Schizosaccharomyces pombe: one gene and its partners. Each later gene encodes a partner of the first gene's protein in a complex. Each region holds a gene or a part of one and is shown on either strand. Other genes may lie near its edges.

The links.
Region 2: cdc48 (region 1) and rkr1 share a complex: the UniProt entries of both Schizosaccharomyces pombe proteins name them as parts of the ribosome quality control complex.
Region 3: cdc48 (region 1) and rqc2 share a complex: the UniProt entries of both Schizosaccharomyces pombe proteins name them as parts of the ribosome quality control complex.

Annotation. Positions count from the first base shown.
Region 1 is NC_003424.3:1,303,620-1,310,968, forward strand, and holds cdc48 (AAA family ATPase involved in ubiquitin-mediated protein degradation Cdc48), read left to right. Parts: upstream 1-2,825; 5' UTR 2,826-2,837; coding exon 2,838-2,893; intron 2,894-2,949; coding exon 2,950-5,323; 3' UTR 5,324-5,647; downstream 5,648-7,349. Other genes in the region: knd1 (cullin-associated NEDD8-dissociated protein 1), read right to left, coding at 1-1,923, 1,962-1,998. UniProt on the Schizosaccharomyces pombe protein: ATP-dependent chaperone which probably uses the energy provided by ATP hydrolysis to generate mechanical force to unfold substrate proteins, disassemble protein complexes, and disaggregate protein aggregates.
Region 2 is NC_003423.3:2,422,493-2,432,314, reverse strand, and holds rkr1 (ubiquitin-protein ligase E3), read right to left. Parts: upstream 5,794-9,822; 5' UTR 5,749-5,793; coding exon 5,720-5,748; intron 5,531-5,719; coding exon 727-5,530; 3' UTR 593-726; downstream 1-592. Other genes in the region: SPOM_SPBC21D10.08C (uncharacterized protein), read right to left, coding at 1-37, 88-173; bdc1 (bromodomain-containing protein 1), read left to right, coding at 6,842-7,741; cysteine desulfurase Nfs1, read right to left, coding at 8,050-9,555. UniProt on the Schizosaccharomyces pombe protein: E3 ubiquitin-protein ligase component of the ribosome quality control complex (RQC), a ribosome-associated complex that mediates ubiquitination and extraction of incompletely synthesized nascent chains for proteasomal degradation.
Region 3 is NC_003421.2:1,323,729-1,331,788, reverse strand, and holds rqc2 (ribosome quality control complex subunit Rqc2), read left to right. Parts: upstream 1-3,415; 5' UTR 3,416-3,481; coding exon 3,482-3,613; intron 3,614-3,658; coding exon 3,659-6,592; 3' UTR 6,593-6,732; downstream 6,733-8,060. Other genes in the region: SPOM_SPCC132.03 (uncharacterized protein), read right to left, coding at 1-234; histone deacetylase, Sirtuin family, NAD-dependent Hst2, read right to left, coding at 1,569-2,111, 2,179-2,555, 2,613-2,691; prohibitin Phb2, read right to left, coding at 6,767-6,993, 7,043-7,111, 7,168-7,434, 7,642-7,945. UniProt on the Schizosaccharomyces pombe protein: Key component of the ribosome quality control complex (RQC), a ribosome-associated complex that mediates the extraction of incompletely synthesized nascent chains from stalled ribosomes as well as their ubiquitin-mediated proteasomal degradation.

The DNA of each region.
Region 1 (7,349 bases):
TCTTAGTAATATCTGTAACGGACATGAAAATATCACATAACGCTCTTGCAGCAGCACTTCTAGTGGGCTCTTCCTGTAATTTTTTACATAAAATAATTAAGACACGTCTCAGGAATATAGAATCAAAATCAGGCTCATAGAAAAGAATTACGTATTGAGAGACCAGATCTATCAAAGCTAAACGAACTTTCAAGTCAGAAATTTTAGATTCCAAAAGTTGAAGTGAAGAATCAATCATTGTGGAAAAATCTGTTGAGACGTTAGTGGGTTGCTTTTTATGAATATATTTGCAAAATGACAGCTCAGTAATTAAGGCCTCGTATGAAAGTTGTGGGTAGTTGTTTTGTACCGCTAAACTTAATATAGTTGACATTTTAGATTCCATGTTTTCTATCTCTTCGCAGCCGCAAGAAATGATAGCTGATATTAAGCGAACTAAATTCAGCTTAATTTTTATATCAAGGGTTGAAAAATCAGGAAAACGGTATATAATTGAGCTCAGATTTGAAAATTCGGACTGAACACCAAGATCTCTTGAAGAAAAAATCACTGTAACTAGGTTCAGTAATTCAGATACAATGGAAAGTGGAGTTTTATCAGATAACTTAGAGACATGCTTTCCAATTACAGACACTAAATAAATAGAAGTATCCGATATTGCTGAACGGTCCGATGGTAACCCTTCATAACGACGCTTTCTATCATTAGAAGTTGCATACACCTCTATCCAACGAGGAACATGCAAGAATGCTTGTTTTAATACTTCGATAGAAATCAAGCAAACAGATTCCTCTCTATCGTTTAACTTACTAACCACAGAAGTCCCTAGTGCTTGAAGGACTATAGGCAAATACTCTAAACGTGACAAAATTACAGACAAAACGACTTTCAAAGATTCTCTTCTAACAATCCAAGATACATCTTCTTCATCTTCGTAAATGCTGCTATAGTCACTCATTTCTTCGAGAAAGTCAGCGATATCATCTTCATCATTAGTATCAGATATTAAATTGGGATCATAAGAAATTTTAGAGATTAAGAGACCATGTAATTCTGGCCAAATTTTCAAAATATTCACTTGTTGGTACTCTAATAACAATCCTAAAACCTCCAACAATTTTTGCGTTAACTCATCTGGGGCTTCTTCCTTCTTTAATAACGATAATATTTTATTGGTGTAGTCAGCAACTGCTGTTGAGATGAATGATGTAGATGAATCTTTTTCTTTTTTAGATGACAGAAGTATTTCGTTAAGCAATTTAATAGAAATATTTACCTCGGACATTTGGGTCGAGGGTCCCAAACCTCGATCAAGCACCTCAATTATATATTTGTATGCAAAGCGAGGCCCATAAAGTGATACGTCAGAAAGGAGATAGCAAGCCTTTTTAATAATTAATTCTCTTTGGCATTGTGTCGTACATTTTTGGAATACGTCTATACACAATTCAAAATTGTTAGGTAGAAGAGTCGAAAGATTAGAATGGTATATTTCTAGAGAATCACAGACCACACAGAGAATTGCAAAAAATTCCTCTTGAGCAACGTTGTACTGTTTTAAAATTTGTAAAAATGAAGGGAATACAGTCGAAGTATAAAATTTGTTTACGAAAGGTTGGACGTTCGAGTTGGACAAAAGCAAACTGAGAGCAGACAAGTAATTTTTCGATTTCTTCCCAGCAACTCCAGAAAGCAAATTTTCAACAGTAGATTTTAACTTATCTTGTGGAATTTTGCTAGAAATTATAGCAACACAACGAACTGCCTCTTGTTGAACCTCTGGCGAAGCATCACTCAGTGCTTGTAATAAAACATCGAGTGTATCAGGAAAGCTCTCCAATTTGAGATTTTTCAAATGGTTTGCATCATTAAGTCGGGCAGCTAAATCGCTGAGTGCCATGTAACGTATGTCTTTATCGCTACCTGCAACAGTTAGAGCTAGTTTTTTATTTTTAACATACTTTCAACGTATTTTTTTAATAAAATTCCCTCCTCCATTTTACAATTGATTAATTTTTATGGCCACTAAGGTAGGGATTCAGCAGTTTGTACAATGAGCCTGACAGCGTGTATCATAAAGGATTCCACACCATAAGCCATATAACGAACAGTAAGTATGGATATTTAAAACACATTAAATTCCTTATTAAAGATTGAACTAATTTTATTATTGATTGTGCAATACAATCAATAACCATAAAAGAAGAATATTTGATTAGCCTTAACTTACTGCTAAACACTTTTACAAAACGCTTTCTAGAAAATTGATGTTTATAGTTATAATGATAAATAATATTGCAAGGGTTTCAAACTAAAATATTTAGCTTACTAAACCGCCAACCAAGTTTCATTTCAATTGAAAACGGATAACACTCAAAATGTTTATTTTATGCTTAGTAATGAAGTTTTAAGCACATTTAGATATAGGGCGGTCGTTCGAATTTTTGCATTTCTGTAGTTTAAAATTTCCTCGTAGATTTTACTAGAAAATTGTTTACTATTGATGTTCTTGGAACATTCTAATAGCAACGACGTTTCCTTGGTAAAAGAAGAATAGATAAATTAAATTTGGCAATTTATACAATACGTGTTTTCTAGAGATGCGTTAAATAAAAACAATCTAGCGAAAATAATGGAAATTGGTAGTAACGACCTTGCGAGGCAGCTATGTAGCAGAAAGACTCAACTGCTTACAGATGTTATTATACAGAAAAAAAACAATTAGAAGAATATTTAGAAATAATTTACCTTTTTGAGCAATAATTTCATGTATCTTTATAAATTGAATGCTCATATATAAGCGCATGGTGCATGGTCGAATGAACGCACCATCCACCATGACCGATAAGAAACCAGAAGTGGAACACCTTCAGGGTGAAAACCCTCCAAAAGAGTATGTTTTCGATGTAGCAGTAACTTTTTTTTAGAATTCGATGCTAACAAGCTCAGTACATATAGTGCAGAAGACACAGCAACAGCTATTCTTCGTAAAAAAAGAAAACCAAATTCTCTAGTGGTCGATGACGCTACCAACGATGATAACTCAGTAATCACATTGTCGTCCAATACCATGGAGACTTTACAACTTTTCCGTGGTGACACAGTTGTCGTTAAAGGAAAGAGACGGAAAGACACTGTCTTGATTGTTTTAACTGACGAAGAAATGGAAGATGGCGTAGCAAGAATTAATCGTGTTGTTCGTAACAACTTGCGCGTAAGGTTAGGCGATATTGTAACGATCAATCCTTGTCCAGATATTAAATATGCTGAACGAATTTCAGTACTACCCTTGGCTGATACCGTCGAGGGTCTTACTGGTTCTCTCTTTGATGTTTACCTTAAGCCGTACTTTGTTGAAGCGTATCGTCCTATTCGAAAGGGCGATCTTTTCGTTGTACGGGGTAGTATGCGTCAAGTTGAATTTAAAGTTGTTGATGTTGCTCCTGATGAATTTGGCATTGTTAGCCAGGATACAATTATTCATTGGGAAGGTGAACCCATTAATCGTGAGGATGAAGAAAGTAGCTTGGCAGAAGTTGGCTATGACGATATCGGTGGTTGTCGTCGCCAGATGGCTCAAATCCGTGAGCTTGTCGAGCTTCCCCTCCGTCATCCCCAATTATTCAAAAGTATAGGTATCAAGCCACCTCGTGGTATCCTTATGTATGGTCCTCCAGGTACCGGTAAAACTTTAATGGCTCGCGCAGTTGCTAATGAAACGGGCGCTTTCTTTTTCCTGATTAATGGTCCTGAGATTATGTCAAAAATGGCAGGCGAATCTGAGTCTAATTTGCGGAAGGCGTTTGAAGAAGCCGAAAAAAATTCCCCTGCTATTATTTTTATTGATGAGATAGATTCTATTGCTCCCAAGCGTGAAAAAACGAATGGTGAAGTTGAACGACGTGTTGTTTCACAATTATTGACTTTAATGGATGGTATGAAAGCTCGTAGTAATGTTGTAGTAATGGCCGCTACCAATCGTCCTAACTCTATCGATCCGGCATTGAGACGTTTTGGTCGTTTTGATCGTGAAGTCGATGTTGGTATTCCTGATCCCACCGGCCGCTTAGAGATCCTTCGTATTCACACAAAGAACATGAAGCTTGCTGATGACGTTGATCTTGAGCAAATTGCTGCTGAGACTCATGGTTACGTTGGATCTGATTTGGCATCTTTGTGTTCTGAAGCTGCCATGCAACAGATTCGTGAAAAGATGGATATGATTGACTTGGATGAAGATGAGATTGATGCCGAGGTTTTAGACTCTCTAGGTGTTACAATGGATAACTTCAGATTTGCCCTTGGTTCCAGCAATCCTTCTGCTTTGCGTGAAACCGTTGTGGAAGTTCCCAATGTTCGTTGGGAAGACATTGGTGGATTGGAAGAAGTTAAGCGTGAATTACGTGAAACTGTCCAGATGCCTGTTATGTATGCCGAAAAGTTTTTGCGTTTTGGTGTCACTCCCAGCAAAGGTGTTTTGTTTTTCGGACCCCCTGGTACAGGTAAGACATTGTTGGCGAAAGCCATTGCCAACGAATGTTCTGCCAACTTTATTTCAGTAAAGGGACCCGAATTGCTTAGCATGTGGTTTGGTGAGTCTGAATCAAACGTTCGTGATATATTTGACAAGGCTCGTGCTGCAGCTCCTTGTGTCGTTTTCTTAGATGAGTTGGATTCTATTGCCAAAGCACGTGGCGCTTCTGCTGGTGACTCTGGTGGTGGTGATCGTGTTGTCAACCAACTTCTTACTGAGATGGATGGTGTTAACAGCAAGAAGAATGTATTTGTTATTGGTGCTACCAACCGTCCCGATCAGATTGATCCTGCCTTGATGCGTCCCGGTCGTTTGGATCAATTAATCTACGTTCCCTTACCCGATGAAGAAGCTCGCTTCAGCATTTTGCAAACTCAATTGAGACATACGCCTGTTGCTGAAGATGTTGACTTGCGTGCAGTTGCTAAGGCGACCCATGGCTTCTCAGGTGCTGATTTGGAGTTTGTTGTACAAAGAGCTGTTAAATTGGCCATCAAGGACAGCATTGAAGAAGACATCAAGCGCGAAAATGAGACTGGAGAGGCTCCTGCTGACGATGTTGTTATGGACGAAGATGCATCTGTGTCTCAAGTTCAGCGTCATCATGTGGAGGAGGCCATGAAAATGGCACGCCGCTCTGTCAGTGATGCAGAAGTCCGTCGTTATGAAGCTTATGCCCATCAACTCCTTACCTCGCGTGGTCTTACAGGATTCCAGTTTGATTCGGCTGATAGTAATACTAATGGACCAAGCTTCGGAAATGATGGTGCTGATGATTTGTATGCATAGAAACTACCACCTTAATGCATGAATTCTATATCCGATGATGAACAAAATTTATGTATGAACATGGACTTGCCTTTTTGTTGAAGTCATTTTTGTAAAAGGTGATTGATTGATTGATAATAATGACTTCTCTGCTACTTAACATGAGTTTGTAGGGATTCTTAAATTTAGTCTTTGAATAGAACGAATTTTTTTTTATGAGTAAGAAATTCTTGAACGCCCAAGTCTAGTTTACTACAGCATACTATTATGTTGACTGTTGTGTTTAGTTATAACTTTTCGTCAGTTTTTGCAAGTGTAGAAATGTGCATTTTCACACGATTCACATAACGATCGGCATATAGATAGAAGCCAACCCGGAGATCCAAGTGTTAACCTAAAATGTCGTTATCGAAATAGTAGCATATTTGTATGTGTAGTTATTTTCAAGGTGAACTGCTACTATGCTAGTAGTGTGCTAGCGATGTTAAGTCTCTTCGTGGAGGCAACGCCCCGTTAAATCTACTGGAAGAGCTAAAACTGGGATGTTCCACTATCGACCACAACGAGTGGACGATATCTGCGAGCTCATGGACATGTTGTTCGGCAGATAACCGTAGTTTGACCCTACCCCCACAAAAGTATGTAATGTCGATTCAGAATTTCCACATGGTGCCTTAAGCATCGTTACCTGTGTTACCTGGAAATATTAGGTTATTATAAAATTTGTTTAGTCGCGACAACGACATGCATTAAACTGACAATCCTCCATATACATGAGTGAGATTGAAATTATTTGTTAAGAAAGAGTTTTGACGGATTCAGAAAGTTTGAGTAATTAAAAGTATCAAGGTTTTTACTAGAAGTCAGTGAAAACATTCAAAAACGATTAATCGTCGATATCCGGCTTTTCGCCACTTGACCAGTTAGTAAGCTTAGAAAGGAAAGAGAATCTTTTACACTAGAAGATTTTTACTTCTAAGTTGCAATAACTTCATTTATTCGAATTGTAAAATACGAGTTCACTGCAGAGTTTCAGATCATTGAAGATTATTGCACTAAAATTCGTTTTTAAGTGTTAAAAGCTGATTTGTTCTTTACAATTCGCATAGGATACACTTCATTTATCATTCAATTTTGGTTTTTCCTTTGTGAAATAGGAAAACCGCAAAGCGTTTGTCTGTTATTTTATATTTTTTAGTTTGGATGTATAAAATTGACATCCTTAACCAATCTATCAGACATTTAGTATATATGTTATAGGATTCGTTTTTTGTCCTTCACGTGCCTTGTTTCAGTTATTATTTGACTGTTAATTCTTTCTCCTTTCCTTACATTTCCGATTCTCCTCTTGACGTACATTGTTTCGACAATACGTTTCTTATTTCCTAGTTAGTGTCTAATTCTATTTAAAGTGTGGATGGCGTTTATCTTTTTGAAATTTATTTTCCAGGCTTTTTTTGAAATAGACTCTTCTGAAGTACATTAAGTTTTTCAAGTGTCTTTTCTTGTTTATCTGTGCTATTACTGTGTGCAGGTTCAATCGATTGTTTTTATTCTTTCTCTGTCTATTTTACCGACCTTCTTTCCTTGTTGTTCTTCGCGGTGGCTTTTTGTTTGATTACACTCTTTTTTTATCCCCTTTAAAAAAAAAAAGTTTGGCATCTCAACAGTTCTCCTCATATTTTCCTTCTTCAACTACTTTTCTCATCTCCCTGTTGTCCTTAAGAAATATTTAACATATTCTGTTGCTTTGCTATTAACGTTATTTGGTAAAATTATTTGGCAGATTATATCTTGCTTATTTTTGCCTACCTGTATTTCTCTGACAAGTCAATTTTGATTTATTTAGCTATTTCTTTTTTCTGACTTGTTGATAACTAATTTAGGATCTTGCATTTCATTTTCGAAAATTATTTTGCGGTTTTCGTTTTTAGTCTTTTTGAATCCTGATTGCAATCACTTTCAAGCTTTATTTCCCTTCATATCTTTTATTTTAACAACATATTCTTCTTTTGAAAAATAAGAAAATAATTGTTTAATTTGAAAA
Region 2 (9,822 bases), on another chromosome or scaffold:
ACCTTGAGTATAGATATTGCAAAGTTTATCTAAACAACTTTGCAGGTTAGTATATTCTCTCTAGTAATTAAAGTTTGCAATGCTTACAGAGATGTGGATTGAATGTTTAGGTAGTTTTTTAAATTCCACCCATCATCTATTCCTTGCATAAACGGTTGTTCCACGTTGCTCATTTTACTGTTATTAATGTGCGTTGTTCTAGTAGGATTCGTCTTGAATAAAAGTTTAAAACAAACCAGGTGTAGTTGTTGTGTCATAACAAATGATATCGGTTTTTTACTAGCTGTTTATTCTTATAGCTCCTAGCAAGTAAACACTCGAATCATTGCGTACACTAATCTACCAAACACAAACAATAACAAAAACCTTGTTATACTATAAGTTTCTTTAAATATCTTAAATAACTTACATTTTTTAAATCAGTTATATGGAATTTTATTGAGAAATTATTTGTTTACTTCAGTCGTTATTAAAGTTCTCATTTTCACATTCTATTCAAGCAATGGACATTTAAATTTTCGACTTTAGCTACAATAAAACTCAAATCAGGTAATCGACTTTGCATACAAACAAACACTAAACTCGTATAAACTTTTAACGATCAAAACAAAACAGACACATTCATTCACTAGTAACTAAATAACACTAAACTTCATTATAATGTATCATAAAAAAAAAGAACCAAAGATATCACACCATTAAAATACCAATTTTTTTTTAAAGTGCCTAAACAAATGTAAAGCTGCTGCGGCACAGTGGACAGCGGCTTGAATTTGAAGATTTGAACCATTTGTATAAACATGATGCGTGGAATTTGTGCCTACATGTTCCACATCGTTTATTTGGCAAAGTACGCTCCACAGACAAGACAGAATAGCAAATAGCACATTCTTCAACGCCTTCAAAGTGCATGGATATATTCTTCTTCAAAACTAGTAACGCATCAGTGATAGAGCCATTTTGCGATGATAAGATACTTTGAGAAGCCAAAATCCATGAGCGCCATTGTCGTTCGTTAACACCGACTCTTTCTATTCCTTCTACTTGAACATTTTGTAGGGGATATACAGAGGGAATTTTGATGGCCATTTCCAGTTTGTGCTCATCAACATTATAGATGAAAGATATCTCTCTGGTGTTTCTGTTAACTTTCACATTAACATCACCAACAGATTGAAAATCTTCGGATTCAATTGATCTCTCCACATCGTCTAAGGAAGCAGAAATCAACAGCGGGGAAACATTGTACCCTGTAAACGATTCAACAGTAGAAGTGAAGGCTCTATTCTTAACTTCAGACCAATAACTTCTAACAGAAGAAGAAAGATGTCTAAGACATTGATAATAGATATGAATTGCAAGACATCGAATACGATCTGTAGCAGAGGAATAATCCATAAGGTTGTAATCAATTTTGGGATACTTATCAACGTTAATTGGCCTGTCATATGATAAATTAAGAATTTCAACTAAAGTATTAAGCAAAGGACGTAATAAATCCATAGCATGAAGTTGGTTAATAATTGACAGCTTTATATTGTAAGTGGTTTCCTCAAAATGATAAAAGATAAGATCCCAAACTAAAAGATACACACGCAACGCATGTTCATATTTCTCCATTTTGCTTACCATTACAAACGGATCTCCAGGAAAATCAATAGCGAGAGATAGAAGTTCTGGGCATAATGAAACATCAGGTTCGTAATCACTTTCAACCATGTAGTAAACAGTAAGTTCCTTAAGCTCATGACTTAATTTTTCGCGTAAAAATTTCATACAAACAGACTCCATTTGCAAATCATTCGAGTTACACAACGATGGAAAAAACTCTTGATATTGAAAACTGCGAACAACCTTCCCTGGACAGTTTTCTAAAAGCTTCACCAAATATTGGTTACACATACGTGCGGTTACCGAGTTTCTCAGGGTAGATTCGTGAGTAAAGAGAAATCGTTTCAACAAAAGATAATTCATGGATTCATTAGACTCAACAATACAATCTTTAATATCAGAGTTCATTTCATAGTTCTTGGATAAAGCATTATAAAGTCGAAGAGCAAATAGTTCAAACGATTTTACTATTGGGGCATCCACTACAGACATCTTCATAGCATATTTAATATAATCGAAAATGCTATTCCAATAAGAACCAGATAACGAAAAAACAGTGGGTAAAAAATAGTACATGAAACGAAGAAAGCAACAAACAGGTAATAGCTCTAAAGATTTAATTCCACTTTCAGAACACCAATTGGTAATATTTTCCAAAAAAAGTCTGCATCTTGTGATAGGAAGAAGGGGCTTCTCAGTAATCTGTTGAGTGGTAGCCGCATTCAAAATCAACAGAGACTTAGAAACTTCATTAGCAGAGTGAAGTTTACCTGTTAGATCGTTTACTGCTTTAAAACGAATTCGTTGAATAATTTCAGAATCTACTTCTAATGGCTTCAATCCTTCTAAAATAGAAGATACGAAAATAGGGGATTTTGAAGAGCTCAAGCCCAGCTTTCCTAAAACAACATCAACGTGTTTCTCATCCATTTCTAACAAATTTGAGACAACAATCAAAAAATCTGTTAACCCTTGAGCGGCAAATATAGAAAAAGAAGTAGTATTCTCTGCAGATGACAAATTTTTAAATCTTTTAAACAATACAGGCATTTTCCCATCTATATCATCAATTAAAAGCTCATTTAATACTGTCAAAGCATCCTTATCGCGCATAAATTTAACCACTTCACCTTTGAAGTAGCATTCAAAAGATTCCACAAATATTCCAGCATCTCGGATGGGAACATCAATTATGCTTTGTATGCCATTTTGTAAATAAATTCGTATTAACAAATAAGCAAACGTAAGGTTAAATAAAGCATCACCGTCGCATCCGGTAGTTTCAACATAATATAAAGTGTATAAGGAGGCATGGAATATATGCACAAATTGAGTACCTACGTCTGTCATATCAACATTTATGGGCTCTGAGGCAACTAAATCTAGAAATCCGAGAATAAAATCTTGGTCAATGAACAACTTGTTAGAGAAAAAAGGAATGCAAGAGGATATTTTTGCATCCCAAAAAGAGGCAGGAAACGTAAAGAAGTTTGAAGGGAGTTTTCCAAACGAATTGAAAACAAGAACACACTTATCAGCAGCTAACTTTTCATTTATAGAACCATTCAAAACCTTATTCAATGACCATTCCTGCACTTCTGAACATAGTTTAAGAGAAAAACCGGAATCTTCTAATGCTTTCTCTTTCAATAGGGAGAAGATACTTTCAAAATGAGCTGCAACATGGCCATCATCTTCTGGTTTACTGAAAAGGATCACAGGAAGCAAAGAATACAAGGATTTATTTTCATCAAATATTGTTGGAAGATGAGCTTTCAGAGAATGCAATGATGCGCACAAAATAATCAAATGATTATCAACCCAATCATTCGTAAGAAAATACTCCAAGGTCGTAAACAAAATATTTTTAATCGTTTCTTCTGGAACAAGGATTTCCTTAGACCCAATGCACGCTCTTATCATATCCCAATCGTTTCCTGGGTTTTGCATAATAGCAAATACTGCTGTATCATAGTATTCTACTAATGTTTTTACCAAGGAAATTTTCCCCCTTAGTTTTCCATCAGCAAACAAAGAGGGAAGACTATTTAAAACCCTAATATTTTCCAGTTCATCAAAGGACACTGTGAATTGATTAGCAACATTTTCCCAAGGCTCAGAGAGATCCGCGTAATCTTTAAGAAGTAAAAGAATATCACGAAGCAAAGTAAAGGCTGGAGATTGAGGCCCAAGCTTTAAAATCGAAGAAGGCAAATCATTCACCAAATATTTTTGAAAAAGTTCCTTAACGGGTTTAATCAATGTAGTATCACTGAATATGTGACAAACAGTTATTAACTGGGATGCCGATAAACATGCAATACGTTCATTTTTGTGGGTAGACAATTTCATTAAAAATGACAAACAAGGTCCCAGAATCGACATGACTTCATTTCCAGTTTGAAAATTTCTATTTTTAAGATATAAAACTGTTTGAACGGTTAAGCTTAAGTTACGTGATAAAGAATCAAATGGGATAGTTTCAATGTCCATAGATTCATCATTAAAGAAACCAAATAACACTTCGTTCCAGAGCGAGGCGAAATCTGAATTTTTATCGAATACACTTTGCAAGCAATGATCGAAATCAGACGTTGAACAGCGTAGAACAAATTCACCTTTAAAATACCTGGTAAATATAGTCCTTAAACGGTCACGGACATGATCCTTAATTTGAGGATCGGAAGAATCGGTATAAACAAATGACAAGAAATTGAGTAAACAGTCATAAACTTCAGTAGATAGGAAACGTTGTTCTTGATTTGCAGTTTCTAAGAATGCATCACACAATTCGTCTACACTTTCAATGGAAGGAACGAGCTGCATAGCGCCTATACTTTTAAACAAATTCAGCAAGGATGTGTAAAACCCAGAATTAGGAAGGCTGATTCGCTTGGTGATCAAATTTGAGAACAACTTTGAAAGAGGACGTTTTGAATCATTTGCAAATTGGTGAACCTCGTTGGGGAAATTAGAAATCATGTTACTAAGAAGCCTAAGCATAGGGACGCAGGTCAAACTAGTTAGTCGTGAAATCATTCGTGAAACACGTTTAAAATATTTCTCTTTATATTGGGTAACAAAAGGTTTATCATACTTCAAGATAATGAGCAATAAATCGCTCAGGCTCACTGTGACACCATCCTGAGGTGAGGAAACCAAAGACCAAAATTCGTCAGACTTGAAAAGTGTAGACAAGTTCTCGTAAAGAGATGACTTAAAGGTTTGCTTATCTATCTTCTTATCTGTCTCTAGATTTTCTAAATCGGCAGTCTGTTTGAAAAGAAAAGAAAGGGTCAGAAGACAGCTAGATTTAACTCTGGTAACTTTCGATTCAGCTTCTTCATTTGAAAAAAAACGCAAATCCGTTAACGATTCTTTGTCTTCATGTAAAAAAACATCAGTGACTATAGGTGCGATAGTAGATCCAAACTTCAGCCAAACATGGGGCCACTTTTCTTCGGAGAGTAAATTTTTAAAAGAGTCTTTTGCTGATACAGAGACTGCACGATCTGAATCAAAAAAACCCATAACCCAAGGTGTGATATAGAATTTGAGCCATGGTGCAAGTTTTTTTTGAAGCGCAGAAGATAGAACAGACATGAAGACAAAGATTTTTAACCGCACATGTCGTTCCACTTCTATAGATAGTCGAGGAAATAAAACTGCCAAAGCATTTAGAAACTGTTCATTGTCAAACTGTGATGGGTCATTCCACTGAATTAAATCTTGTAAAGCTCGACATTTCGTTACGATGTCACGCTTTTGCAAATTCTTCACAATAACAATCATTTCTGCGTCTAAACCAGACAAGTCTGGAGGCTCATATATCGTACTAAAATTTGAGCTGGACTCATCCAACGCAATTTGCAAGGATGAAAACGATCCTGACATCGATTGCATCCCGGGATTTTTACGGCTATAAAGAGATTAGCATTTCGGCACATACATAAAGAAAAAAGAATCGTTGTATTTTTAAACAAACTTCCCCAAAATATGGAAAAGTATGGATTTGTAATAACATAGGTGTTCTGCATATATCCAATGAGAAAGACCCTATTTTGTGTGCAAACCCATTTTGTTACCATCTTCTCACATCTTTACTTACCCGTATAAATCCGTAGATTTTTTTTTCATCTTTTTTTTTAGTTTACAATGCAATGGAATGCAGCGGATCAATTTGGCACAAAGAATGAAAAATTACAAAGGAAATCAGATATCAGTCTGTCCGACGTTATCATAGGTTATTGATAACGTTGTTTTAAGCAATTCATTGTGGTATGCAATGCTTTATAAACTGATACTTTAAAGCTTAACTATTTGTGATGACGGAAAAGGAATTAAGTAGCTTGCTAAACTGTATATCATGTCAGCAATACTACACTACGCTATGATACACTACGTTGCGTATCACTATATGTCACATGTTCTAATTATATATCGTACCATGTATGATACGATATGGAGATTGATCTTAATGATAATCTATTAAGATCAATATTATCTGAATACTATAAATAGAGCTACTGCTGAACCTCGTTCCTCAGTTCAGTTATGAGCTATATTAGTGATAGGTAACATTATAACCCAGTTAATACAATACCTATACTCAGTTGCTACTTATACAACCTGTGTATTGTAATATAATAGATCACAAGGAAAACTCACCGCAGTTCTACGTATCCTTAAATCAGATACCAAACTGCGTAGCTTACATATCAGATTCTTTAATTGCAATCGCAAAACTTATTTAAAGTAACTTATCAAACGGTGTCATCTACAAAATACCTTATCTAATTTAAGGATGCAGTAAAAATACGATGATTTTTATTGCGATCTGTTCAATATTGCGTTAGTTACAGAAAACGTTGGAAACTTGGTTAGTATGATGTGACTATCCAGCAAAATTTAAAGATTTTACGCAAAAGGTTTATAGAACATAATTCACTGGTATCATAGGAATCAATTACAATTTGACAAACTGCAATTCTATAGAAGTCTTCAAACTAAGACATTGAATTATTAAGATATGCAACATGTGTAAGGTTGGCAACTAACGTAAATTATTTAGCATTGTTGCGTTAATGAAGTTTTACAGCAATCTCTAACGAGAATTTAGGTTTTACGCGCACGCCGTATGAAGGAGGTAGTACACTACGAAAAGAAGGACTCCCTTTCTACCGTGTCTTGTCTTGTAAAATTAGTGGAGATGATGCAAGTATAGTGCATAATGAATATTGCTCAAGAGGTTGCTGTTTTACAATATCTTGATATTCAGCAAGAAAATCCTAATGCTCCCAACGAAGAACTCTTCAATCGAACGGCAGAAAGCAGCCTGCTTTTAGAGCCAATTGAACAAGATCAATTAAAGGATCTGGTCGAGGAATGGATGCATGATAGCAATAAATCTGATTCAAAGCTTCTCTCCAACCAAGTTTCTCAAAACGATAATGATGCTCGAAAAAATCTACGAAAAAGGCTGCGGAACGATGTCCTAAAGGATTTGGCTGAAGAGATACAGGGATGTGAAAAAAAACTGGAAAGCTTATATGAAGAGGTTGCAAAGGCAAAGGCAAAAGCTGTGGAGGATCAACTCGCACTTGAAGAAGCTGACAAGGAAGCAAAAAAAGCGAAAACTGAAGCTCCTGTAGAGGCTGCTAATAAATCTCTTCGTTCTAGAAAGAAAACACCAGAGATTGCAGCTCCTGCAAATATCGAACCCGAAGTTGCACCCACAACTAAGACTCCAAAAAAGCGCGCTGCCCTGTCTAATGAAGAAAAGCAGTCTTTGAAAAAGTTCCAAAGTGCAATGCTTCCTATGCTCGACAATATTTCTAATCACAGGTTTGGAGCACCTTTTAGTCATCCTGTAAATCGTAAAGAGGCACCAGATTACGATTCTTTAGTTTATAAACCTCAAGACTTACGAACATTGAAGAATATGATCAAAGAGGGTAACATCACGGAAGTGGATGAATTGTATCGAGAAGTTCTTCGAATCTTTGCTAATTGTAAAATGTACAATGGCAGCGATCCAGCCAACGCCATGTCCATATGGGGAGATGAATGTTTTCGCTACACAGAAGAGCTTTTCGATATTTATCGTCAGGCAAGTACCCGTTCTCAATGAGTGTTTTACATTTTAATTATATTCCTTAACATTTTTTGTTTATGCTTTGGATTCATATCATTTTTTGGCTATAATTTTGACGACTTGGGGGTACATATTTTTTAAATGGTACTATATTTTATTTTTATCAAATTTATGTTTTTTTTTATATCATAACCGTGTATTTATTTCGTATAGATTCAAATCAAGTATGAGATAATTTACAATTTAGTTTTTTGTAACTATATAACAGCTGGTAAAAAGTTTCAACTTCCATACGTTCATATAAAAAAAAAATAAAATCTTCAATAGGTAAAATTAAGCGTTCTTCAATGTTGACTCCATTCTATAGTACTAAGATCGACACCCTCCTGAACCAAATCCCATAACGGGCTCATATTCCTTAAGAAAGAAACTTGTCTACTCACATTTTCAATAGCATAATCAATTTCGGCTTCAGTTGTAAATCGGCCAATACCAAAACGAATAGAACTGTGAGCATTTTCATCACTCTGACCAATTGCACGCAAAACGTAAGACGGTTCTAGAGATGCGGATGTGCAGGCAGAACCAGAAGACAGCGCGATATTTTTCAAACCCATAAGCAACGATTCCCCTTCTACATAATTGAAAGAAATGTTGACACAACCTGGATATCTAGATTTAGGGTCGCCATTCAAAGATGTATATGGGATTGCAAGAAGGCCATCTATTAATCTTTGGGATAGTTTGGAAATATGTGCATAATCATACTTCATTTCTTCTTTGCATATACGGGCCGCAGTACCAAATCCCACTACTTGAGATGGAGCAAGAGTACCACTTCGTAAACCTCGTTCCTGACCTCCACCACTAATAAGCGGCTCTAAACGTACACGAGGACGTCTTCTAACATAAGCGGCTCCAATTCCTTTAGGGCCGTAAATTTTGTGAGCAGAAATAGACATTAAATCAATGTTCATTCGATTGACGTCAATGTCAATTTTTCCATATCCTTGAGCAGCATCTGAGTGAAAGAAAACCTTCTTCTGTCGACAAATTTTGCCAATCTCTTCTAGTGGTTGACAAACACCAATTTCATTATTGACGGCCATTACACTTACACAAACAGTATCAGGACGTATGGCGTCACGTAATTCATCCAAATTAATAAGGCCATTAGTTTGAACAGGTAGAAAAGTAACTTCAAACCCTTCTTCTTGGAGAGCACGTAAGGAATCCAAAACGCATTTGTGCTCAGTTTGAACGGAAACAAGATGCTTTTTCCTACTTTTGTAAAATCGGGCAACACCTTTCAAAATAGCATTATTTGATTCAGTTGCGCCAGATGTAAAAATAATTTCTCTTGGATCAGCATTGATTACAGATGCTATCTCTTGGCGTGCATTTTCAACAGCTTTTTCTGCTTCCCAGCCATAGGCGTGTGTTCGACTATGTGGGTTTCCATAAATTCCAGTGAAGAAGGGAAGCATACTATCTAGTACACGATAGTCGAGAGGAGAGGTAGCTTGAAAATCCATATATATAGGATGCAATCCCGTAACCGTACTAGCAGCGGTTTGTGCTTGATCCAAAGTTACTGTTTTCAAAGAATTTTCCGGTATGGGCTCTTGAACCGCCGTCATGTTTCCTAGCCCGTACATTTGTTCACGAGGTTTATTGCTCATTGAAGGTTTGTCCATACGACTGGAAGTCATAAACGACCTACCGTAAACTCCAAGACTCTGTCTAACATTATTAATATCCTGACTCTCTCGCTTGACAAAAAATAAAGCACTTCGTAGTTCAAGAAGGCATCTTGCTCTAGAAAGCATCAAACTTCCCATTTTGGACATGGTTGTTTCCAAAATAGAGGAAATTTTGCTAATTCTTTATTTATTTCCTAAACAACAAGAAACAAGTCCTTTTTAAAATAATTTGGCAGTTGCTAAGTTCAAATTTTGCGATCTGACTAATAAAAATTTTGGTTGGCGGCGTATCTGAAACCAACCAAAACTAAGCTTCGACCCAATACATGTAGAGCTGCGCAATTATCAGTATGTTATCATTGCATCGTAAACGACGGAGACACTGTTCAATCGAATAAAAACTGTAATAAAGAG
Region 3 (8,060 bases), on another chromosome or scaffold:
TAGCAAAATGGATTCTTGTTGTTCTGACCAGTCGTCTAAGTTCAAATCATCTATTGATTCAATGCAATCTTTTTTCAATCCTACGCCATTTGAAACGTGTGAGTCATTTTCCTTAAAGACAAAATTTAATGGTGTCTTAGGAGGCATGCTTCCATTTAAACAACGAAACGGCATTGTGTCGTAAGCATCAGTCAAATCCTCAGGACCGGTGATCCTCAATCGCTTGGGGTTCATTGTTATAATGTGTAAATTTCCAATTCTTTTGTTCAGAGGATCCTCAACGAAAGGAATCAAGATAAAGATTACAAATGAACTTTTATTAACTACTGTAAAAAAGTGAGTAGTTCTTAAAATGATAAGAATTGATCAATTGCAACGATAACACGATTTATCATTCCCTTTTATTTTTAAATTCTTTCCAGACCGCTTAACACGCCTGTATAAAAAGATGGCAAAACAAAGAAATTGAGACCTAAGATCCCTATTGACGTCAAATCTAAAAACGTTAATTATAAATCATATATCTGGCTTTCGAACAATTATTTATTTGCTAAGCATTCATATAGATCAAATTCATGAATCTTGTATAGCTAGGTAGAAGGAAGCGTTAGAATCGGTAAATTCTTAGCAAACCGAACAGGAGGTGACAGCCATGTAGTCAGTAATTCGTACAACTCATAAGTTACCCAAAGGTACATAGATATATGCAGATAAAATAGATATAAATTTAATAATTGTTCTAAAATTAACTGATAATTGTTCAAGCGCTTAGATACTTGTTTTCTGTAATATGAATTATGTCTTTACATCTCTAGTTCATTTTATGAACAATAATGACCACAAGAACAAAATTCAAATCAGAACTGGTTATGATGATGGACTAACTGGTTTATACACCGTCCCCTGTTACAATATACAATTCGTAGAAAACGCTTTAGTTTTTCAAAGGAAGCATTATTCTTGAATGAAACTACAAAAAGAACAATTTGATTAATTATTCCTATTTCCAATTCTTGGATAATTCAAAGTTTTATTAAATGAAAATGAATAATCTCCCATTTCAGAACTATATGTTCCAAACTGAACAGAAAAAAGGTTTCGACAAAGATTGTATTAGATTACAGTGCAGTAAATTTGAAACCATTATCAATTATTCTAGCGCAACTTTCTCATAACCCAAATTGCGTATATAGATGGACGCCAATTTTAAAAAAAATGCAAGTTATTTTCACGAAAATGCGAGGGCATCTTCATGAGTTTGATCGAGATCGTATACAGAACCCCCTTTTTGTTATCCTTTTCGCATTAGTTTAACCCAGCATACAACTCATAAAGAGAGCAATATGATTCATGGTTAAGAGGCAATCAAAAGGACGCCTGGAAGGAAATATTATAAAATTGCTGAAATAAAAAAAAGTATTTAAACTTGTTTAAAAGAAAACGAATCGTATGTGTAGATTCAAATATTCATCAAACCGAATCGTGAATTTCCGTTTTCTTAGTATAATAAATATAGGGATCTCCTAGTTTTAATCATGACAATATAGAAAATTTCCCGAATAACTGAACTATTCATCATCAGAAACTAACAGCGTCACCTCGTCTTTTTTCTTCTCCTCTATTTTAGTGAAAGGATTGACCGAGTTATCGTCTTTCTTTTGTTCAGAGGCATTCTTTTCTATTGTAGAGTCAACAGAAAGTAAAGATATTTCTTCTGTCAGCGTTTCAACACTCGTATCAATCAACTTTTCCAATTCATCAGACCATCCTAATAGTTTACATAACGCACGTACTTGGGAATCACAATCCCCCAATATCATGATATCCTTTTTTCTCTCCCCAAAGTCGCCAGCTGGTTCTCGATTAATCAAAACTCGTTGACATTTATTTGGCACTATTTCAGGCAAATCCGCGAATGGATGAACAAGTAAACTTGTTCCAATTACCAGTGCCATATCACAGACTTTTGTGTCCTTTTCCATGTGCTCGAAGAAACGCATTGGTAATCCCTCGCCATAAAACACAATCATTGGTTTGATGAGACCTTTGCAACTGTTGCATTTAGGGACCTGTTTTTGCATAATACATGCTCTAACATACTCCGTTTCCGCCTTTGTTTTCCGTCAGTAAAACCAATTTCTGCTTTTTCACTTTAACTTTTTCAAAAACAATCCTTACCATTTCGTAACATTCAATACAGCGGCTGTATTGGAAAGAGCCATGTGCTTCAATCAGAGCTTTGTCAGGCACACCTGCCAAACGCTCCAAGGTATCAATATTTTGGGTATAACATTTTTGTAGTAACCTTTTATCATGTAAAAGGCGTATAAAATAATGAGTATAAGTTGGTCTATACTTTTCAGGCATCAATTCGTGAGCCAATTCGTAGAATGGACGCGGATTTTTTCGAAAATAAGATAGATCAAAAACAGCTTCTGCGTAAGGAAGATTAAATCTTTGTAAATTATTGTAAATTCCAGTCTCAGGGCTTCGAAAATCAGGGATTCCTGCTGCAGTGCTGATCCCTGCACCAACCATAACACATATTTTCTTTACTATTTTCGATAAAATCGCATTAGTATGGTCAAGGAAAGAAAATTAAAAGTCATTACCTTTTCCTTCTTTGATTAAGGATGCAACTTTCTCTAAATGCTTGGAAGAGTCGACGTGTTTAACAGTGTTTTTCACCATTGTCGAATTTCTGAGAACAACCAAAGCAAGCCAATAATCGATTTACCTTAAAAATCCCAACTCAAACTCTTTCAAAAATTGGATCACTTAAAATTCTCAGATATGAACAAATCAATATGTTAATGCACAAAGTTTGTGGGTACGCCAAATTTCCATTATTATTTACTCGTTGAAAATATCAAACGCCATTACCGATGCTCCATTAAACTGCATTATACTGTTTAAAAGGCTATTGTATTCGACTTTAGTACTCGTTATTTGGTAAACATTTAGAGCCATCTTTTTCAATTAAGAGTTTCTGGATGTCGTTGAAAAAATGAGATACGGGGTAATCAGAAATTATGATTAATCAACTTTCGGCTCACTTGATTAGATTCAGCAACGATAACTCTTGACTTTCTGGTTTTACTTATTGGGTTGGTCACACCAGTTTGACATATTAGGTGTCAAAGTTTTTTATAAGTTTATCATTAGTTAACTATTTTTTATCTTTATAATCAGTGTCATGTACGACTATAAATGTACGATTAAAGAATCATCGTCGGGAAAGAAATAATGAATTTGAGAGAACAATCCAAATTTGCGCTAAGAATTTTAATGCTGCTAATGTACACCGTTTTATGGTGCAATGGTGTGCTATAATTTTCCTTATTACATATTGCGGATATCATTGCGCTTTGTTAGTGCTTCAGTTTCACTTACGTTATACACATGTTTACATTCTAACTAGAGCCTATACTTCATTTTGTTGTAACGCAGAAATTCATTTAGATAGGTGTTATAGACGTAAATGAAGCAAAGATTTTCCGCTTTAGATATTGCTGCGATTGCTGCGGAATTACGAGAACAAGTGGTTGGGTGTCGCTTGAATAACTTTTATGATCTAAATGCGCGTACCTTCTTGTTGAAGTTTGGTAAACAAGTATGTGTAGAAAGTAATAAATATTTTTTTACTAACCCGTTAAAGGATGCAAAATATTCTATTGTTATTGAAAGTGGGTTTCGTGCTCATTTAACAAAATTTGATCGAGAAAATGCCCCTTTGTCTGGGTTTGTAACGAAGCTACGAAAACATATAAAATCTAGAAGGTTAACTGGTGTCTCTCAGTTGGGTACTGATCGAGTACTCGTTTTCACATTTGGAGGTGGTGCGAATGATCAAGACCCCGATTGGACGTACTATCTGGTTTGTGAATTTTTCGCTGCTGGAAATGTTTTACTATTAGACGGCCATTACAAGATTCTGTCTCTTTTACGAGTGGTCACCTTCGATAAAGACCAAGTTTATGCCGTAGGGCAAAAGTACAATTTAGACAAAAATAATCTCGTTAATGACAATAAATCTCAGTCTACTATTCCTCATATGACAGCTGAACGATTAAATATCCTTTTGGATGAAATAAGCACTGCTTATGCTTCTCCTACTTCTATTAACGAACCTTTACCTGACCAACAACTATCCTCTTCTACAAAGCCGATTAAAGTACCCAAACCAGTTTCTCTTAGAAAAGCATTGACTATAAGATTAGGTGAATATGGTAATGCACTTATAGAGCACTGTCTTCGGCGTTCAAAATTAGATCCACTATTCCCTGCTTGCCAGCTCTGTGCAGACGAAACCAAGAAAAACGATTTATTAGCTGCTTTTCAAGAAGCCGACTCCATATTAGCTGCAGTTAATAAGCCCCCAGTAAAGGGTTATATATTTTCACTGGAGCAAGCACTAACAAATGCTGCTGATCCTCAACACCCTGAAGAATGTACTACATTATACGAAGATTTTCACCCTTTTCAGCCTTTACAGCTCGTTCAGGCAAACAGAAAGTGCATGGAGTTTCCAACCTATAACGAATGCGTTGACGAGTTTTTCTCTTCTATCGAAGCACAAAAGCTAAAAAAACGAGCACATGATCGCCTAGCGACAGCTGAGCGAAGGCTTGAATCGGCTAAAGAGGATCAAGCACGAAAACTTCAAAGTTTACAAGATGCCCAAGCTACTTGTGCGTTGAGGGCTCAGGCAATTGAGATGAACCCTGAACTTGTTGAGGCTATTATCTCATACATTAACTCTCTGTTGAACCAAGGAATGGATTGGTTAGATATTGAAAAGTTAATTCAATCTCAAAAAAGAAGAAGTCCGGTAGCTGCTGCTATTCAAATTCCCCTTAAACTTATAAAAAACGCCGTTACCGTTTTTCTTCCTAATCCAGAGTCTGTAGATAATTCTGATGAAAGTTCAGAAACCAGCGATGATGATTTGGATGATTCTGATGATGATAATAAAGTGAAGGAAGGAAAAGTTTCGTCAAAGTTTATTGCCGTTGAATTGGATTTATCTCTTGGCGCCTTTGCAAATGCGCGTAAACAGTATGAATTACGTCGAGAAGCTTTAATTAAAGAAACAAAGACTGCGGAGGCAGCCTCAAAAGCCCTGAAAAGCACCCAACGCAAGATTGAACAGGATTTGAAGCGCTCTACTACTGCAGATACACAACGTATTCTCCTTGGTAGAAAGACATTCTTTTTTGAAAAGTTTCATTGGTTTATTTCTTCGGAAGGTTATCTAGTTCTGGGAGGCCGTGATGCCCAGCAAAATGAATTACTTTTCCAAAAGTATTGCAACACAGGTGATATCTTTGTTTGTGCAGATTTGCCAAAGTCTTCGATAATTATTGTAAAAAACAAAAATCCTCATGATCCTATTCCCCCTAATACTCTACAACAAGCTGGATCCTTGGCTTTGGCTTCATCTAAAGCATGGGATTCAAAGACCGTAATCAGTGCATGGTGGGTTCGAATTGATGAGGTATCGAAACTTGCTCCAACAGGTGAAATTCTTCCAACAGGAAGTTTTGCTATTCGGGCCAAAAAAAACTATTTACCTCCTACTGTCCTCATTATGGGATATGGAATATTATGGCAGTTAGATGAAAAAAGTTCTGAGCGTCGCAAAGCTAGAAGGTTAGAAATGGAGGTTGTTGAAACTCAAGGAAAGGTGTCGGAACTTAAAATGGAAGGTACTTCGGTAACTTCTGAAGATAACATTCAAGATGTTGTGTCTGAAGTCAGTTACAATGAGGACACCAACAATCAAAGTACTCCTGATACCACTGGTTCAGACATCCATATTGTCAGCGAAAAGCGTGGTAAAAAAGGTTCTAAAGTTATAACAGCTAAGAAAGTATCTGCCAAAGAAAGGCGTGAAGCACGTCGCGCTAGAAGGCAAACTGCTTTGGAGGAATCTCTTAAAGCACCTATTTCAATAGAGGATGCTACAGACCCACAAACTATTTTGGCAATTTTAAAACAAAAAAAGGCTAAGAAGAAGCATGCGGCTCGAGAAATGGAAATTTCGTCTCAAATTCCTTCTAATGATTCATCAAACGTTCAAACACCCACTGCCGAATCAGAGATTGAAGAAGATGGCGTCTCCGAGCCCATTAGTGCAGAAGTAATTGAAGACCAAAGTCGTAACAGTGAAGCTGAGAATGAAAAAGGTTTGTCTACTGAACAGAGAGACGAAAAAAAGCATGCGAAGGTTGAAAGTTTTCAAAGACAAGAGATGCCGAGGAGTTTATTCGAAGAAATATTTTTTGCAATTGATTCTTTAACCCCTAATCCTCAACAGCAGGATACTGTGATAAACGCTGTTCCGACATTTGCCCCATACAATGCTATGACTAAATTTAACCAGAAGGTAAAAGTCATGCCTGGAACTGGAAAAGTTGGGAAAGCGGCAAGGGAATCAATCGCCTACTTCATGAAAAAACTTCCCAAGTCATCAAAAGAAGCTGCTTATCTTGAAAACCTTAAAGACGGTGAAATTGTTGCTCCTATAAGTGTGAGTCGTTTAAAGATGGTTTTTGGATCTAGCGGTAATACCAAAAAGTCAAAGAAATGAAAATATTTATTTGAGATTAATAGTTGGAGCTACTTCACTGTTTGATTTTGTTTTTGTTTTTGTTTTTTTAAACAGAAATTGAAGAAATCAGCGAATATTATGGTTTTCAAAGAGAATTTTGTATCAAAAAGTTAAATTTGTTTATTAATAAAATGACAATTCCTACATTAGACTTCATTTAATATCATCTAAAAGTAATGTGCTGGCATTAAGCATGACCTTGTTATTGCTCTTTGAAAGAATGTTTGCAATTTCACGAGCAGTTTCAAGCTTTCTTAACTCGATGAAACCAGGCTTATTTTTAATAGCTTCACCAATTAGTTGCGCTGCTCTACCTTCACCTTGAGCACGAACAATAAAGCCCTGTTTTTCCATTCGAGCACGATCGACATAGAAAGTAGCTAAAAAATTATTGTTAATATTGAATTTGTACGAAGAGCTGAACCATACCTCTTTGAGCATCTTGCTGGGCAATTTGCTTGGCCTCTACAGCGGCTGTAAATTCAGGAGAGAATTGAACTATTGGATGCAGTTAGTATTTTAAGGTACAAACGCTTGACTAATGTTAGTCATACCATGAGTAAGTGAGACATCATCAAGCAAAATATTGAATCGGGCTGCTCTCTTCATTAAATTCTCGCGAACCAACCTAGATACACGTTCACGCTGGGTGATCAACTGGCTTGCATTAAATTGAGCTACAACGCTTTTTAAGACTTCATTAACAATAGAGGGCAAAACACGTTCATCATAATCACCACCTAAAGTACGATAAATTTTTGGCAAAGCATGAACATCGGGACGAGACAAAACACGACAATTAATGTTCACCATTTGTAAATCTAAAGAAAAATGGTTAACATATTTCTAGTAATACAACCAACAAAAACCCCTCAAAGCTTAGCTATTCGAGAAGAGTAGAATCCATAAACACAATTCATCACTTTGCAACTAAAAGCTTAATTCACAGTAGGTATAAAAACCAAATGAATGTTTCTTACAGTCACCTTTAGTTATGTACGCTCAACGTTTTAATTCTTGTAACCTACCTTTCGTTCCGGTTAGAGAAGATATATTTCGTGGTTTAGCACGAACATCGTAATCAATGGCCGTTTCGATCCAAGGAATCAAGAAGTGGGTTCCTTCAGGATATATAAGGTTTTTAATTCCTCCAATCCTGCTATACTTAATAGCTCGGTGACCACCATCAACGTTAAAAAGAGAAGTCTGCACAGCAAATCCTGCAAGGCCAAGAGCTAACAACAAACCAGTTCCTGTAAAAGCATATTTTCCTTTAGGAAGTCCCCGCTTCATCAAATCATTCATCTGCTGGAACGGTCTTTGACGATTCATACTGAAAAGCTGTATACGGGAAAGAAAGACTTGTAAAATGAATACGTATAAGTAAGCATTTAAAATGGCACTTCAGTATACCTTATCCATTTTATCGTATTGTATCATAGTACGG